Linked DNA regions of Caenorhabditis elegans. The protein of the gene in region 2 interacts with the protein of the main gene of each other region in a pairwise test. Each region holds a gene or a part of one and is shown on either strand. Other genes may lie near its edges. The genes, in order: erp-44.1, ubc-25 and chn-1.

Region 1 (5,764 bases), 5.1 Mb from region 2:
TTCTCTCTTTGGTTCGAGTTTATCGAGAATAAAGAAGATCGATAGATAATTTTCAAAAGGAACAAATAAAAATATTTGTGAAAAATTTGGTCAATCACCTTTGACAAGTAGATGAATCGGATTGAATCCATTTAACCGCCAAAACAAAAAGGTTATTGAAGAAATAGAAAGAATAAATATATTCATTCGTTTCTGTTAACATTGTTGATTGTTTTTGAATTTAAGATTCAAAAAATTTTTGAAATAAAATTGAATCTAAAAACAAAAAAAAGACAGGGATAGAGACATGGGAAAACGAAGAATAAAACCGCGCATCACAGACAGGAATTGACTAAAACTTTCAGAGAGATGAATAGGAAAGAAATGGATTTTGATTGGCAAAAGAACAACAATCCGATGGAATAACATAGTAATGTATAGTTTTTTGTGGAAATCGGGGATTAAATAGTTGTGTGTGGGGGGACCTCGTAGAAACCAAGAAATAAAACCAAAACCAATGGAAAATTGACCGAATAAAACTGAAAATTAAAAAAAAAGAACACCAGAGAAATGCAAAACAAGGCCATGTTGCAATTGTGATATAAAGCTCTGTTATAAACAAAAATGAAAAATCAAAGAAATTAAAGTTCCGTTTTGTCAAGAATTGTGTATCTCGAAGAAGCAGGCTTCAACTTCTCGAATGTAGACGGTGGTGGCTCAGTGTCCGGTGCTTGATTTCCAGTCTGAAATGTCTTACGAAAATTGTAAATATGGTCTTTGGAAATAAGTACTGCAATTTTTTCAATAAAAATACGGTACCGAATCTCGAAAAGGCAAATTTTTGAAAAATACAAAAGGTGCGCGCCTTTAAAGAGTACTGTAATTTCAAGATTTATTTTTTCTTGAATTTTTTATTGACTTTTCGATCAGAAAAGGAAATTTATTTTAAAAAAAAATCAGATATAACAATAATTTTTTAATAATTTTTTTCAAATCGAGAAAAAAAAAGAAAAATCAATAAAAAACCGCAGCAACTAATTTTAAATTACAGTAATCTTTAAAGGCGCATACCTTTTCACATTTGACAAAAATTTGTCGTTTCGAGACCCGTTTACCGTATTTTTGACGGAAAAAGCACAACATTTCGCGTCTGGGAAAAATATTTAGAAAAAATCATCCCAACCATAATTTTTTTTAAATCTTCTAATAATTCGGAGTTTTTTTTTCAATTTTCAGTTAAAGCTTCATTTATTTTGTTTTTTTTTCATAGAAAATTCCCAATTTGAGGGATTTTCCGTCCTGAAAATCTCATGAAATTTGTAATTTTACATTTTTCAAGGATTTTTAGAGACTTTTTTAAAGGTGGTATAGAAAAAAGTCTGGTTCAGATAATAAAAAAAAATTCGTTTACTAACTTTTCAATAAATTTCATAAAAATTTCAAAAACCAAAAAACTCCCAAAAAGTGACACTTACCACTGGATCTGGACCATGGTGGAATTCGCGATGAAGCTTTCCGCTGTGCAGATCGAGCACGAATTCGCGGAGTTTTCCGGGGACGCTGAAATAATTTTGTTTGTTTATATAATCCATTTTCCAGATCTTACTTGACATCTTCGAAATTCTTGAATAAATACATATGTCGGAAAGAATCAATTGCAATGACTGGAAGATCGGATTCCGATTTACCCAAGTGACTGAGTGGATGCTTGAAGATTGTTCCATCACCGACCAAGCAGTTAATTGCTGAAATTATTCATTTTAAAATCTAAAAAAACTCGAATAAAATACCTTTTCTCTGATCAGGAAGTTCTCGAACAATTGCATCAGTGAAGATCTTCTCACTGACTTTATCATCAGATTTCTTGAAAAGAATCATAAATGGAAGTCCTTCTTCAGTCAATTCTTCTGCATTTTGGAATGTGATTTCACGAACTAATGGCACACATTTGTCAGCAACCCATTGTCTGAAAATTTAATTTTACAATAATTATTTTTTTTACAGTCTCCTCGGCTCGAAATTGGTTCCTTGCCCCTTTTTAAATTTTATCGAGTTTTTTTTTGTCGAAAATTGGTTAACCTTTGTTTTTTCTTAACAAAAAAAAAGTTTTAATATTTTGAAACATGAGATATTTTTTAAAGATATTTTTTTGTATTTTTAAAAAAGATTTGTGAAGAAATTAAATTATTTTTAACCCAAAAAACCGAACAGAAAATGTTTTTTTTTGGTGATAGCTCTTTTTTAGAACGCGTGGGAATTTAAGAAATCACCGAAAAAGCTTAAATTTGGGTTTTTTCTTCAGCTTTTCATTTTTTCAGGTTCAATGTGAGAATATTTTTCAAGTAAGACAAACTACCATTGCGATGAGAAAAACTAAATTTTTCATAACTTTTACTAACTTGAGATATTCATAAGTGGCAAAATCTCCAGAGAATGGAATCTGTGCTGGATTCACAGCCTTATTAGATGGCTGGAAAACGAGTTTCGGTGGTTGACCAGCAGCCGGTGCCTCTCCAGGGAAGTTCAAATCTCCGATTCCAACCATAAATTCACATTCATCACGATAAAACATTGCCACGTTCATGAGATTCTTGTACTCGACACTGTTTTCATCATGGAAATATCCAATAAATGTGTTCTTTTCTGGCTGAAAAATATACTTTTTTAGTTTTGAAACCTTCTTTTTGCCACAATAGAAAATTTATTTTGGTTTTTCAAATATTTTCAGTGAAACTCACATTATGCGCAGCTTGAAGTGCATTTTTCTCAATAAACTTCTTCACTGTAACTTCCATTTGTTTATTGATGAATTCGCTAAGAGCCTCCACGGATCGGGAACTTCTGAAATTCAAAATTTAAAATAATTTTTTTGAAAAAAATAAGTGTATCGTCAATAAAAAAAGTTGTGTAAAATTGCAGCCTATAGTGCTAAAATGTCCTAATATCATAGTAAAACAAATTTTTGAAATATCTTAATTTTTAGTTTCACATATTATAATTTTGGAATTTGACCAAAAAAAATTTTCTCAGAGTGTAGAGGTGTAGAGGAGGAGAAGGAGGAGGTGTAGAGGTTAGAACTCTGCACATTTATTAAAAGTTCGACAGTTTGCCAAATCTTTATAAGAAAATTTTTGAACAAAATTATAAATTTTTATATATTTTTATTAACTTTAAATTTAAAAAAAAAACAAATTAAAATTAAGCAACTAACCTGTACTCTCTTTTCGCGGCTTCTCCATTTCTGAACAACTTCAGAGTTGGATATTTATTAACATGATATTTTGTGGCAATGTCGTCTGAATTTCATAAAAATAAATGAATTATTCCAATTTATTACTCACTGTTCTTATCAGCATCCACTGAAGCCCACATAATCTTGCCCGGAGCCGCATCTTTGAACTTTTCCGAAGCTTCCAAGAAAATGGGTTTCAACATCTGCGAGAAGCGGCACCAATCTGCGTAGAAATTCACGAAAACGAGTTCATTTGCTTCTGAAACATGATAATTAGCATATTTTCCATAGATAGTTGAAGACAGCTCACGAATAGTTTGCTCGAAGTTTTGTGATGTCAATGAAACAACTTCAGCATTCAGTAGAGCCGGACAGAATAGAAGTAGGGATAACCACCGCAGCATTTCTGAAATTTTTGTTATTCGATTTGAGAATTTATAGGGAATTTAAAAATGTTTAAGGCAAATGTTAAGAACATTTAAATGATTTTCCAGCTGTAAAAAGTATGCTTATCAACCGATCTATAGGAAAACAAAAAGTTCAAGAGTTTCTTGATTGGTCTGTTTCAAAACGAATGTTTTTGATTGGTTGTAAACGCATATTCATCATCAGTTAGTTTAGTGCGGAAAATGGCGTTTTGCAGGGTTTAGAAAGGGTAAGACGTTGTAAAACATTTCTCAAAACATAAAAATCAATGTCTGAATGCAGCATATTCAAATTTAAAAGAACGGCAAAAGACACGTGTACTTTTTGGCCAGCATTGGTCACACAAACCGCCCGGGGTATTAAAAATAGTGGAAAAAGTGTTGAATTATAAGAGACACAGACGCTGAATCAGAAGAGGCGCAGGGTGAGTGAGTGAGCACACGGAAAAGAGCAAACGAAAAGTGGAGAAAAAGCTGACTGGCGATGAGAATTGGGCGTGGATGGGGCAGCTTTACAAACGATTTTTCATGAGAATACTGTGTGCTTGTATCTCTCTGAGAGCATGTGCCATTCCGTGCTGATCACCGAGATTCACTTCTTCTTTCAAAACCGAAAAATATAAATTTTTGTTCGAATTTAAAAAAATCAAAACCTTTTTTTTTTGGTTAAAACTGAACATCGAAAAAAAAAACGTTTTGGGGTTTATTTTCTCAAAAATAGTGAAGGTGCAGGTTCTTGTGAGAAATTTGTCAGAAAAACTTGTTGTTGCAGTGTTTTCAGATTTTTTTAAACCAAATTTTTCGTTTATTAAAAAATTGAAGTATGGAAAATTTTTTTTTCAAAATCTTTAGTGGTTTTTAACCGACAAAAAATGTTTTTAAAAATAAAAAAAAACAATTCTAGAAAATATCTGGAAAAATGAAGAATAGTTCAATATTTAATGTTGATTTTAATGAGACATGATTAAATAGAGAAATACCCTAAAAAATTAAATTTTAAATACTTTCGAAAGCGAAAAGCAGACATTTTTTTGAGATTTTTATTTCAAAATTTCAAAACTTTGGGTTTCGTTGCCAACTTTTTCAAAATATTATTTTAACAACAAAAATTATATTTTCAAATTTCAAATAAATTGCTGGGGATATCCACCATAACGAAAAAACTGATTATAATTGAATTATTTTTTAAAAAATTTGTTTTTCATTTAAAGAATTACAGGAAATGTAAAATTGAGAAAATAATGAGAAAATGGTCTCAATTAAACTTTCACCGTAAAGAAAACATATAAAATTAACAACAACGAACATTTCAGGTGACACTTCAAAGAGAGAAAACCAACAATAAAGTTTTTTTAAAAAATCAACAAAAAATTAACAATTCTTCCAATTATTCTCCGAGTAGATGCTTCTTGTTGATTGGACGAATAGCTCTTCCAGCCTGAAAATATAAATATTATAAATAGAGAAATTTTATTCAAAATTTGTGTCTAGTAACTCATGAGGGGAAAAATGTGAAAATAGTTGGAGAAAAGAAGTAAGAGAAGGAGAAGAAGAGCATTTCACAGCTGAGTGAGGAAAAGCTGTCCCTAGAAGCAACACACACATCATCGATTTTCTTTCGAGCTTCAACAATGTTTTGAAACATTTCAAGTTCTTATCAATGTAATAGGAACGTGTGAAAACCCAGCAGAATGTACGGCGCCGAACGATGATTTTGAATTACTTTCAGTCAACAACTCGATTAGTTTTAGTGACTCGTCATGGTGTAAACATATATTTGATGTTTTTATTTCTTTCTAAATAGATTCTAACAATTTTCAATTGCAAGTTTTGTTGGTTGATTTCAAATAATTCCAATATTTATGATTACTGTAATGGTTTTTTGGAAGAGGAGACAAGATTTGCTGTAACACAGGGATTACTGTAACTAAAACGTCTAGAAAATTGCTCCTCTTCAATGATAATCTTTAGAAGTTTTCTTGCTATTTTTAAAAGTTATTCAAATTTCCTCGCTAGCTCACTGATCTTCTTCAATTAATACAGGTGTGAGCCAATCCAAATATGTATTCTCTTGTCAATCATTTTTCGTCATTCTTTCTCCGATCTATATGAACACCCACCAACCTCT
Region 2 (4,339 bases):
TGTTTATTATCCAAGTTTTTGTTTTGTGATTTAGTATATTATTCTAATTTGTGACACATTTATAACTGCTCAGAAGAGCAGGCCACTACGGCTCCAAAATTCATTGGCTCCGTGCGGTCATCAAGTCATTAGAGGACTGCTTCACGCTCGCGACCTGCCCGTCTCCCTTTCATCGCAGTTGGCATCTCTACCAATTTGATGGGAATTACGAGATACATACTGCAGAAATGATTCTGTATAGTATGGTCTCGATGAAAGCAGCGCTGGTCTTCGAGGTGACAGAGCGCGGCGGCCGACACATCACGGGTTCCGCTCGCTTCCAAGTTGGACGTGAGTGCCGGCCACGCCCATGTATTGGAATCAAAGAGAAAGAGAGCCGAGACAGCTGAGAGCATTGGAATTGAAATTTTTAGTCTTCGAATAATAAAACAACCTTAAAAACGCTTTCTATTATAAATAATTGTTTTTAAAAATTTTAAATAAGTGAATTTCATTTTTCCTGATAAAACGCGAGTTTCAAAACAGCTCACTTTTGGACAATTGGCTTTAGCCGAGACTAAAACCGTTTCCAAATAAACACCAAAAAAGCCAATCCACACATGTTCATAGGAACAGACACTTCATTTTCAGGAAATATACATCGTGAGGAAGACCAAAAATGAGGTTTACATTGTAAAAAAAGATTACGAGTGGTCTTAGTTCAGACGTCTGGACAGTTTTTGGTATAGGAGAAAGGAAGCTAAAAACTATACAAAAAAACGAAATGAGGGGAATGCGTTCGTTTCTTGGAACATGTTGGGTTTGTGAACACTCCATCGCGTGAAACTCGAAATTTCAGATGATTTACACATGTTTAGTTCTATTTAAGAATGGAGGTATTAATTGGAAGGGGATGGGGGGTGGTTGTAGTTGAGGGATGAGGAAGCGGGTGAAGAATGGATGATGTAAATGTCTAGAAAATGAATATAAAACGAGAGAAGAGATGTACCCGCGGAATGAAAGTTTGAAAAAGGTAAACGTTTCCGATTTTAAAAAACCATTGAAAAAAAAATCGTCACTGTGAAGAAAAAATACCAAGTGGAGAGCGAAAAAGTGAGAGGAGGGTGTGGAACATAAAAAAGTACTGGATGACATGAAGATCTTTGAATTGGGAGTTATCCTTCTGTTTTTGGAGGTGTGTACCATCCAGATTTCGCATGAATTTGCTGGAGGGACTTGAATGATTGCTGAGCACGAGCCATTGAATACGTCGATGTGTGCTGAAATATAAGATTAGAGTTTTCATTTAAAAACATTAAATTTTCAAATTACCTTTGCGTCAAACGAAATTCGAGCACGGCCTTTTACCAAGGTAGCAGCAATTTGAAGAATGCAACTCTCAATAGAGTAAGCTGATGACCATCCTTGTTTTGTTAGAAGTTCCATGCATATTGCGCCGCCACCCAATACGAATCCTTGATTGATCTAAATAGGATAATATAAGTTTCAATAAAAATATTCAAAGTTAGAGACTCACATGTGGAGCAACAACTCTGACGAACGGTGGATCACAAGGGAACTTCTCATTGAACGTGAAGCTGAACAACAAATGATCCTGGTTATGATCCTTCTTCAACTTTTTCATGTCTTCGAACAATGGTGAATCCTCATCAACTTTGTGCAACTTGATCCACCATTGATATAAATTCTCTTCCTTTTCCAGTTCAAACGTATAAATTCCATTTTTAAAGTGCTCACTTCGGTGAATATCGCGAATCTCTTTCATCAAACGATCTGTAGCTGTGATTGAACCTTGAACTTTCCCATCCAAATGCTGCTGTCTATTAATTTTTGAAACTTTGTCGAGCATATCGAGACCTTCTTTCGAAACTCCAACATCGTGTTGAGATGTTGGATCTTCTTCAGCCATCTCTACTATTTCGATGTCACCGTCCGCATCTTCATCGTCTTCTTCCTCTTCATCATCATCGTCAACTTCTCCATCTCCAGCCATGTCGTCGTCGATTGGCTGAAAATTGTTTTTGATGTTAAAAACGAAAAACTGAATTAAAACTAAATTACCTCAGATGTGGTATCACTAATATCACTTCCACGACCTTCATCGATATCATCCCTGACAGGTGGAGCAATTTGAGGTAATTCACATGGCATTTGGAGGTTGTAGAAAGAGCAGAGATCGGATACCAATCGATGAACTTGGTGCAAAATGTTCGTCGACTCTTCAGTTTCGGTGAGCCGTTGAAGAGACATTCCGATGACTGGAACGTCATCAGATTCGGAAAACCAGATTGGCGGTTGACGTGGATAATTCTCTTGAATGTTAGCTGTCACAATAATTCCCTTGTTTTCAGCATTAATGAATTTCATCGATAGCTCATCAACCGAGGCAGACAGTATCTGAAATTTAAAACTAGAAAACTGATAAGAACGTTCAATATACCTGAAAGCGATTGTGATTTTTCGGAAATAGTTTTTCCAGAACCTGAATGTCTTCTTTTAGTTTTCGAAGACACGCCATCCTCTTCTGATTTTCGCTACCTGAAAATATGCGAGTATAGTCGTAAAATTAAGTTTTTAAATGCAATTTTAACGATTTGAAAAAGATAAGCCACCAGTTTTCCCAAGCATACTGTTTCTTTCTTTCTATTGTTTCGAAATATTTATAAAGATATATAGCAATTTTCGAAACATGTGAAAGATTGCGATTCACGACCGCCCTGTCAACGAGAGCGTGGACCGAGAATCGATCGATACTTCGGAGGAGAGACGACAACAGGCTGGAAGATAGTGTACTCAAGATGCGAAACGTAGACGGTTAGACAACCGAATGAAAGGCACCAGCCAGTGAGAAACTCGTCTTGGCACGGGCACACTTGGGGAAAGATATGAGAGGTTGAGAGAATTAGAGACAATAAGAAGAGAAATAGACGCAGGTGGAGTGAGAAGTTACGTGATTAATAGAGATAACGAGATAAATAACAATGATCTTTATTCTGTGAGTTCCTGATTAAAAAGTTCAATGAGACAGCTGAAATTCAGTTTGTTATCGATTAATGAAATAAAAAGATTTCGAATACTAAATTTAGAATTTTAAACGATAAGTTTACGTTTATCAGTAAACAAAATATAAAACTGAACTGATAACACATACTATACGAATCAATATAAGGAATATTTGAACTTTACTAAAAAATTCTGATTTTTGAAAAGAAGAAATACAATCGATGCTTTGATGATGCCAGAGACCGCAGTGGGGTAAGAAAAGAATAAGAAAGAGTGGGCAAATAGTGAAATATAAAAATTGTCGCATTGAGAGAAAAAAAGACAAATGAAATGATGTAGAGGGGAGAAAATGGAACATCCTAATGGACGCTCTTGCAGAATAGCTCACACTGATCGGCAGCGCGTTGTTTATCGATCGGCACAGTGTGGGAAAATAATACAATTGAGCAGGTGACATTTCCCCCCGACAGTCCCATTCAATACAAACGTATATTTCATACAAGAAATCAATATTTCAATTTTTGAGAAAGAAAAGCGAATTAAAGTTCGAAAAAATTACATTTAAATCAATATTCTGTTAACGAATATGGCCTAGAAGTTGCGTGGTGGCCTAGGATTCATTTGAGCGCGAAATTCAAATTCAGCCACTTTCGTCGATTTCAACGGCAAAATGCTTAATGTTAACGGATTTTTTCCGTTTTTCTTTTGCAATAATTGGAAGTTTGAGTACAAATACTACATTTTAAAACAATTTCCCCATTGACGATACTCCTTCTTTAAATATTGATGAAAAACAGGTGGTTCTTGTTTACCACTATAAATGACCATCAACTTATCATATCAGATGACCCAACAAAGAGAGGAAGAGGCAGCAGACTGAAAACAGCACCTAGTTTTTGGAACCTAACCAAAAGTAGAAGTACTAGACAACAAGTACTTTGTATATATGTTCGAAAGTACAATTTTCTTTGTTACGACATTCAGAAACACGTAAAGCCCATAAAAAGAAACCTGTTTTGAGTGGCGGAGATGAAACACGCACGGAAAGTGCAATCTGATCAATGTGGCTGCGGGAATTGAGACGAGATACATAGAGCAAAAATGAGGGTTACAGGATCTAGAAAATGAAAGAAAGCTTGAAACGAGCTCGTTATCTTGTTATTTGGAATTGTAGGTGGGAAAGGAACATTGAGCATTATGCAAAGCTTAAAAATTTCACCAAGTGAAATGCATAGCTTTCTCATGTAGAGCAAAAAAAGTGGATGAAAAGTTTTTCACAGCCCGGCACTCAGGCCCACGCAGGCCCGCACACGTCTTGGACGAATCGACCGCAACT
Region 3 (4,781 bases), 4.4 Mb from region 2:
AAAATCCACGTTTTGGCGCTGGATTACTGTAGTCTGAAAGTTGGAAATAGTTAGAAATGAAAACCTATAGACATTGCCTACCTCTGAAAGTAACAATAGATGGCTGAAATTGAAGTCTTGTCCGAGTTAATCGTATCCCGTTTCCACAAATTCGTGACAACATCTGAAGAATAATTTTTCACATTATAAGTTCAATAAAGAAGAGGCAAGAATGGAACTTGTGCGGGAAATATTCAAATAATAAATTTAATTAATTAATTTCGGTTTAATTATAATTTCTTCTGAACCATTGAAAGCTTTTCAGATCTAAACATCAAGGATTTTTAAACAGTTATTCTAAAACTCTGCAAACAAAAATAATAATGCCCGGAGAATGAAAATAACCATTTTTTGTGAACAAAAATTCTTTTTTGCATTTTATTTCAACAAATTTTCGAACAGAATTCAGCTTAAACAGCTTCGAAATTGAAAAAACGGAAAAAAATGCCGTCTAAATTTCACAACGACACTCCGCAATCCCGCACTCCCAGTGATGCAATTTTGAAAACTTCCCGATTTTATTTATTTTATTTACAAAGTCACGTAGATAGTAGGTTATAGACCTTCCTATTGGTATAAAAAAAATTGTAAAATGAAAAGAAAAGCATCACACCTCTTTATTTCATACAATATTTACAGAATCTCACTTTTAGCAGTAAAATTGAGAACTAAGCGACAAGTTGAAGTGCACTTTCTACCAGAAATTCAATGGAATTTTGAAAGAAAACTAAAGCTAAAAAATACACCAAGATACAAATACCGGTAGAACAGAAAAGGAGGGTACAGCGTTCAAACAATAAAAGTTTAAAAATCCGAAAAAAAAATGCAAAGAACTGAAACATGTAGAAAAGTGAAGAAGTTGCATTGAGAAGCAGCCAGGAATGTTTAATGTTGAATTTTTCAATATTCTGAATAGTATTTAAACCATGCCTCCGGGTTCATATTTAGCCCATGGGTTGTCGTCAAGAAACTTTTCAATAACCTGAAAATCATTAGAAATTAACTGAATTTATTACAGGGTGGGCCAAAAGTATGGTAACACATGAAGCGCTCTTTTACATGAGCTTTTCGCGTGACTGCCACGTCATACGTACATTCTTCTATCGAATACTGATAGCTGAATAAATTTCCTTCAATTTGACTCAAAATTTGTAATGTTTCCCAATAAGGTGCGATCTTTATCACCTCGACAATTTGGCGAACCCTTTCGAAAAAACGGTAATTTGGCACGCGGCACTTCCCACACAAACACACCTCCCATGCACGCCAATAATTTTCAGATGTATGATTTTTATGTTAAATTTAAAGTTAAAGAAGTGAAGAAGCGTTTTTAATTGTTTTTGTGGCATATAAAAATTTTCTGTGTCGACACTGGCGCCTAGCAAGAACCTTTGAATATTTCATGAATTCAACTTTGCGAAATTTACTCAGTTTTTTTGGTTTCGCAAGGCGTAACGTCCCACAAAATCATCCGAGCTCAATTTTCTAAAAAAATTCTGGAAAGTCAGGTCAAAACGTCTCGAAAAATACTAAAATGAATTTTTCTGCATACTGCTACTCGCCGCTCACATCCATCTTTCTGGCGACTATGCCATTCAAGACTTAACCTACTGCCGCAGTCCATGACAGAAATACCGTGATAGAAATTATTTGGATTTTTGTTTTTATAGAATCTCTAGACCAAGAGCATTCTTTGAACTATAAAAACTTGTAAGGCACTTGATGGATTCCTCGAGAAAAATGTAGAAATCCCGCAGAATGCCGACTTGCGTGCCATAAAGGTCGTGATCTCAAAAGTTCTGAAGGCCTGCAGCGATGCGGATGGGAATATTTTGAAAATTCAAAACGTTCATCTGGTCAGTATTTTATGGAGAACAAAACTTGTAACAATTGATGTAGTAACTCTTTCCACTAGTAAAGTTATAGAGCTGCAAACGTGTTACCATACTTTTGGCCCACCCTGTATAAATTTCCAACCTCTTTCAGTGCATAATTCGGAATAATTTCATTTTCGGTAAGTGGTTTTCTTGTGACTGGATCGAAATGGCCAATTCTTCTCAAATGCTGCACAATTTCTTCTCGGTCATACGTGATTCCAGATGGAACTATCACCGGCTCTTTCATCAGTTCCAGTGTAATTTTGCCGCAGAGCATCTCAGGAACCTCCCTGTTTTGCCGTTTTTCTTGTGTCTAAAAAATGATATTTTGATTCTCTTTGATCTCTCGTGATTTAGGAAATATTACACTCACGATAGTTTAGTATGCTTAATTCTGAAAGTATATTTTGAACCGGTTGAAAAAAGTTGGCAGGATTCGGAAACTCGTTTGGTTCGAATTAGAAACGCTTAGATATAAGAATTTGGGAATAGTATTACTAAAGTTTCAAAAAACTTTCAAGAAAAAGTATTTACCGCTAAAGTGAGTTCGGTTAGACGTTTTTTAGCCATATCTGCTCTTTGCAACTCCTCTGGGTTTTCAGAATTTTCTTGACGATCCTTTTCGATCAAGCTCTCCAAATACGTGTGAAATTCAACGTCTTGTACAATTCGCTTTGACTCCTCCTCCTCGTACTTTTGATGGCGTGCCCGTTTGAGGGCGTTCTCAATATCTGGAGCGTTCTGAAACCACAATTCCGTTTTAATAAACGCCGTTCAAAAATTTCTACCGTGATAACAGCATTATGGTAGAGCGCTTTGGAGAGACAGCTTATTGCTTCACTGTACTTTTTGCTCTGTAGAAATACATTTCCCAAGAAGTATAAAGGCTGAAAATGAATTGAATAACTAATTAACTTCAAGAGTTGAAAGCTTACTTTCACTTCGTTTGGGCTCAGTTCCAGTGCCCGTTTGCAGTCTTCTTCAGTCATCTTGAGGTTGTTAAGCTAGAATATATATTACAAAAGTTAAAGAAAAGTTTTAATCGAAGTATAAATACCTGAAAGTAACACATTGCTCTGTTCTGATAGTATTTCGGCAGAGGATTTACTTTGATGGCTTTCGAATAGTGATCAACGGCATCGTCATATCTGAAAGTTCAAAGACATGGGATTTATTACACATAAATGAAAATACCTTTTATTCATATAACACTTTTTGCCATTAGTATTATGTTGTTCGGCGCCGCTTGACATGCTGCAAACGCTGAAAATAAGCGGAAATTGTTCTAAAAATCGATTTTGAAAAGCATGATGCGGATAGAGTTGCGCGTAAGCTCTGACGCATTGTGTGCAAATTAAGCTTGCGGTGTTTGCGGTGTACTCGCTCCAAGCCAAAATTTGTTTTTTGCCGCAATTTTTTATATTTATGTTTTTTTTTAACAGTTTAATTTTTTTTTTTCAAATTCTGCTCCAATTTTCGTTTTAGTTCAGGGTATGGTGCAAACCAGAAAATCATATGGAACTCCATCCAATTACATACCAACATCGAATAAACGTAGGAGTCTCGATAGTTCATCAAGGCTTTATCCTGATCTAACTGAACAAATAAGTAATGCAAGAACCGAAAAGACTAGCGAGCAACAAGATGAAAATGATTTCACAGATGCGGATTTGAGTTTCAGTAGCTCACATGGATCAGAAGAATCCGATGTGTCATGTAACGAAGTGAATGAAAAATGGAAATACTGGACTGTTATTGGAATAGTTTTCATTGCGATTGTTGTGGGAGCATTGATTAAAGGAAGCAAAGTTACGGTTGGTAAAACTACACGCGGTATCGGAATAATTAACAATTTTCTAGACTAACGAATCGTATGAAAGTTACATCAAATCAGTCCGATCTGTCATCAAGAACGAGTTTCCTACAATTTCGAAAGAAAATCGGGATCTCTTAAGACTAATCGGGCAGAAAATCTATTTGGAACCAGAAAATCATGCTCCGTTGGTTGTTCTTGTTGGGGGAACACCGGCCAAACAAATTGCCGAAGCTGTGAATCGAGCTGTTCAAGATGCTAAAAGTGATGAGCATACTACGGCAGGAAAATCATCAATTAGAGTGGAAAGTGACACTGATAGAGCCGAGTTGCATGCGAATTTGCAGGAAAGTGAGTGATTTCAGAACCTCATAATATTTTATGTTTAAATAACTTTTTAACATCTCCAAAGTAATGTGAAAATTCGCTGAATTTTGAAAATATAATGCATTATTTCAGTCCTCGGACCCGCTCTTATTTCACAATCATCACCTCGAACAGCTGTGATTTTGGATGTAGACCTGCTAAAATGGGATGCAGTTCTTGTTCTTCATGCGTTCTCAGATCACGGAAAATATCCAGTTCCCAAAACAATACTTTTTCTGACTGTTTCTTCACAACAAGATTCAACGATGGACATTGCCAACACAAGTTGTGATGAGAAAATGGTCCAGTAAGTGGTTTTTGTAGATCAAAATAGTTAAGAAATTTTTTGATCTACAATTTTCGCACTTACAGATTTCTAACGAAACGCTGGATTGAGAACGGCGGCTCTTCAGACAACATTCCACCGATTATTGCACGAATTTCTTATTTTTTATGTGTTTAAAATTTTGCCGGTACATTACCTTCATTTTTCACGGGTTTTTATTTTTTAATTCTGTAATTTAATCCAAGGTTTTACAAGATCAGCTAAATAGTTCAAGGAATTCTGTGTTCATTGAATAAAAATAGTAAAAGTTTTACATGTTCGTATAAATCTCGTATATTCGCTTTAAAAATGCTGTCACTATTTTATTTTTTTATTGATCTGTTTTCTAAAATGATTAATA

What was found.
Region 1: the proteins of ubc-25 (region 2) and erp-44.1 interact in a two-hybrid assay, tested with the Caenorhabditis elegans proteins (one study listed by BioGRID).
Region 3: the proteins of ubc-25 (region 2) and chn-1 come close enough for resonance energy transfer, tested with the Caenorhabditis elegans proteins (one study listed by BioGRID).

Annotation. Positions count from the first base shown.
Region 1 is NC_003279.8:5,416,485-5,422,248, forward strand, and holds erp-44.1 (Thioredoxin domain-containing protein), read right to left. Parts: upstream 4,209-5,764; coding exon 4,157-4,208; intron 3,618-4,156; coding exon 3,522-3,617; intron 3,471-3,521; coding exon 3,321-3,470; intron 3,276-3,320; coding exon 3,191-3,275; intron 2,821-3,190; coding exon 2,718-2,820; intron 2,627-2,717; coding exon 2,379-2,626; intron 1,946-2,378; coding exon 1,770-1,945; intron 1,725-1,769; coding exon 1,586-1,724; intron 1,540-1,585; coding exon 1,455-1,539; intron 723-1,454; coding exon 621-722; downstream 1-620. Other genes in the region: utp-14 (Small-subunit processome), read right to left, coding at 5,024-5,074.
Region 2 is NC_003279.8:10,561,169-10,565,507, reverse strand, and holds ubc-25 (Ubiquitin-conjugating enzyme E2 25), read right to left. Parts: upstream 2,539-4,339; 5' UTR 2,519-2,538; coding exon 2,441-2,518; intron 2,398-2,440; coding exon 2,062-2,397; intron 2,009-2,061; coding exon 1,517-2,008; intron 1,465-1,516; coding exon 1,312-1,464; intron 1,260-1,311; coding exon 1,155-1,259; 3' UTR 605-1,154; downstream 1-604. UniProt on the Caenorhabditis elegans protein: Catalyzes the covalent attachment of ubiquitin to other proteins. Required for the maintenance of neuromuscular function.
Region 3 is NC_003279.8:6,180,678-6,185,458, forward strand, and holds chn-1 (E3 ubiquitin-protein ligase CHIP), read right to left. Parts: upstream 3,180-4,781; 5' UTR 3,170-3,179; coding exon 3,111-3,169; intron 3,065-3,110; coding exon 2,974-3,064; intron 2,921-2,973; coding exon 2,852-2,920; intron 2,804-2,851; coding exon 2,705-2,803; intron 2,658-2,704; coding exon 2,451-2,657; intron 2,230-2,450; coding exon 2,017-2,229; intron 1,022-2,016; coding exon 959-1,021; 3' UTR 637-958; downstream 1-636. Other genes in the region: putative mitochondrial import inner membrane translocase subunit tin-44, read right to left, coding at 1-33, 82-163; T09B4.2 (Torsin-1B), read left to right, coding at 3,410-3,730, 3,777-4,080, 4,189-4,402, 4,468-4,558.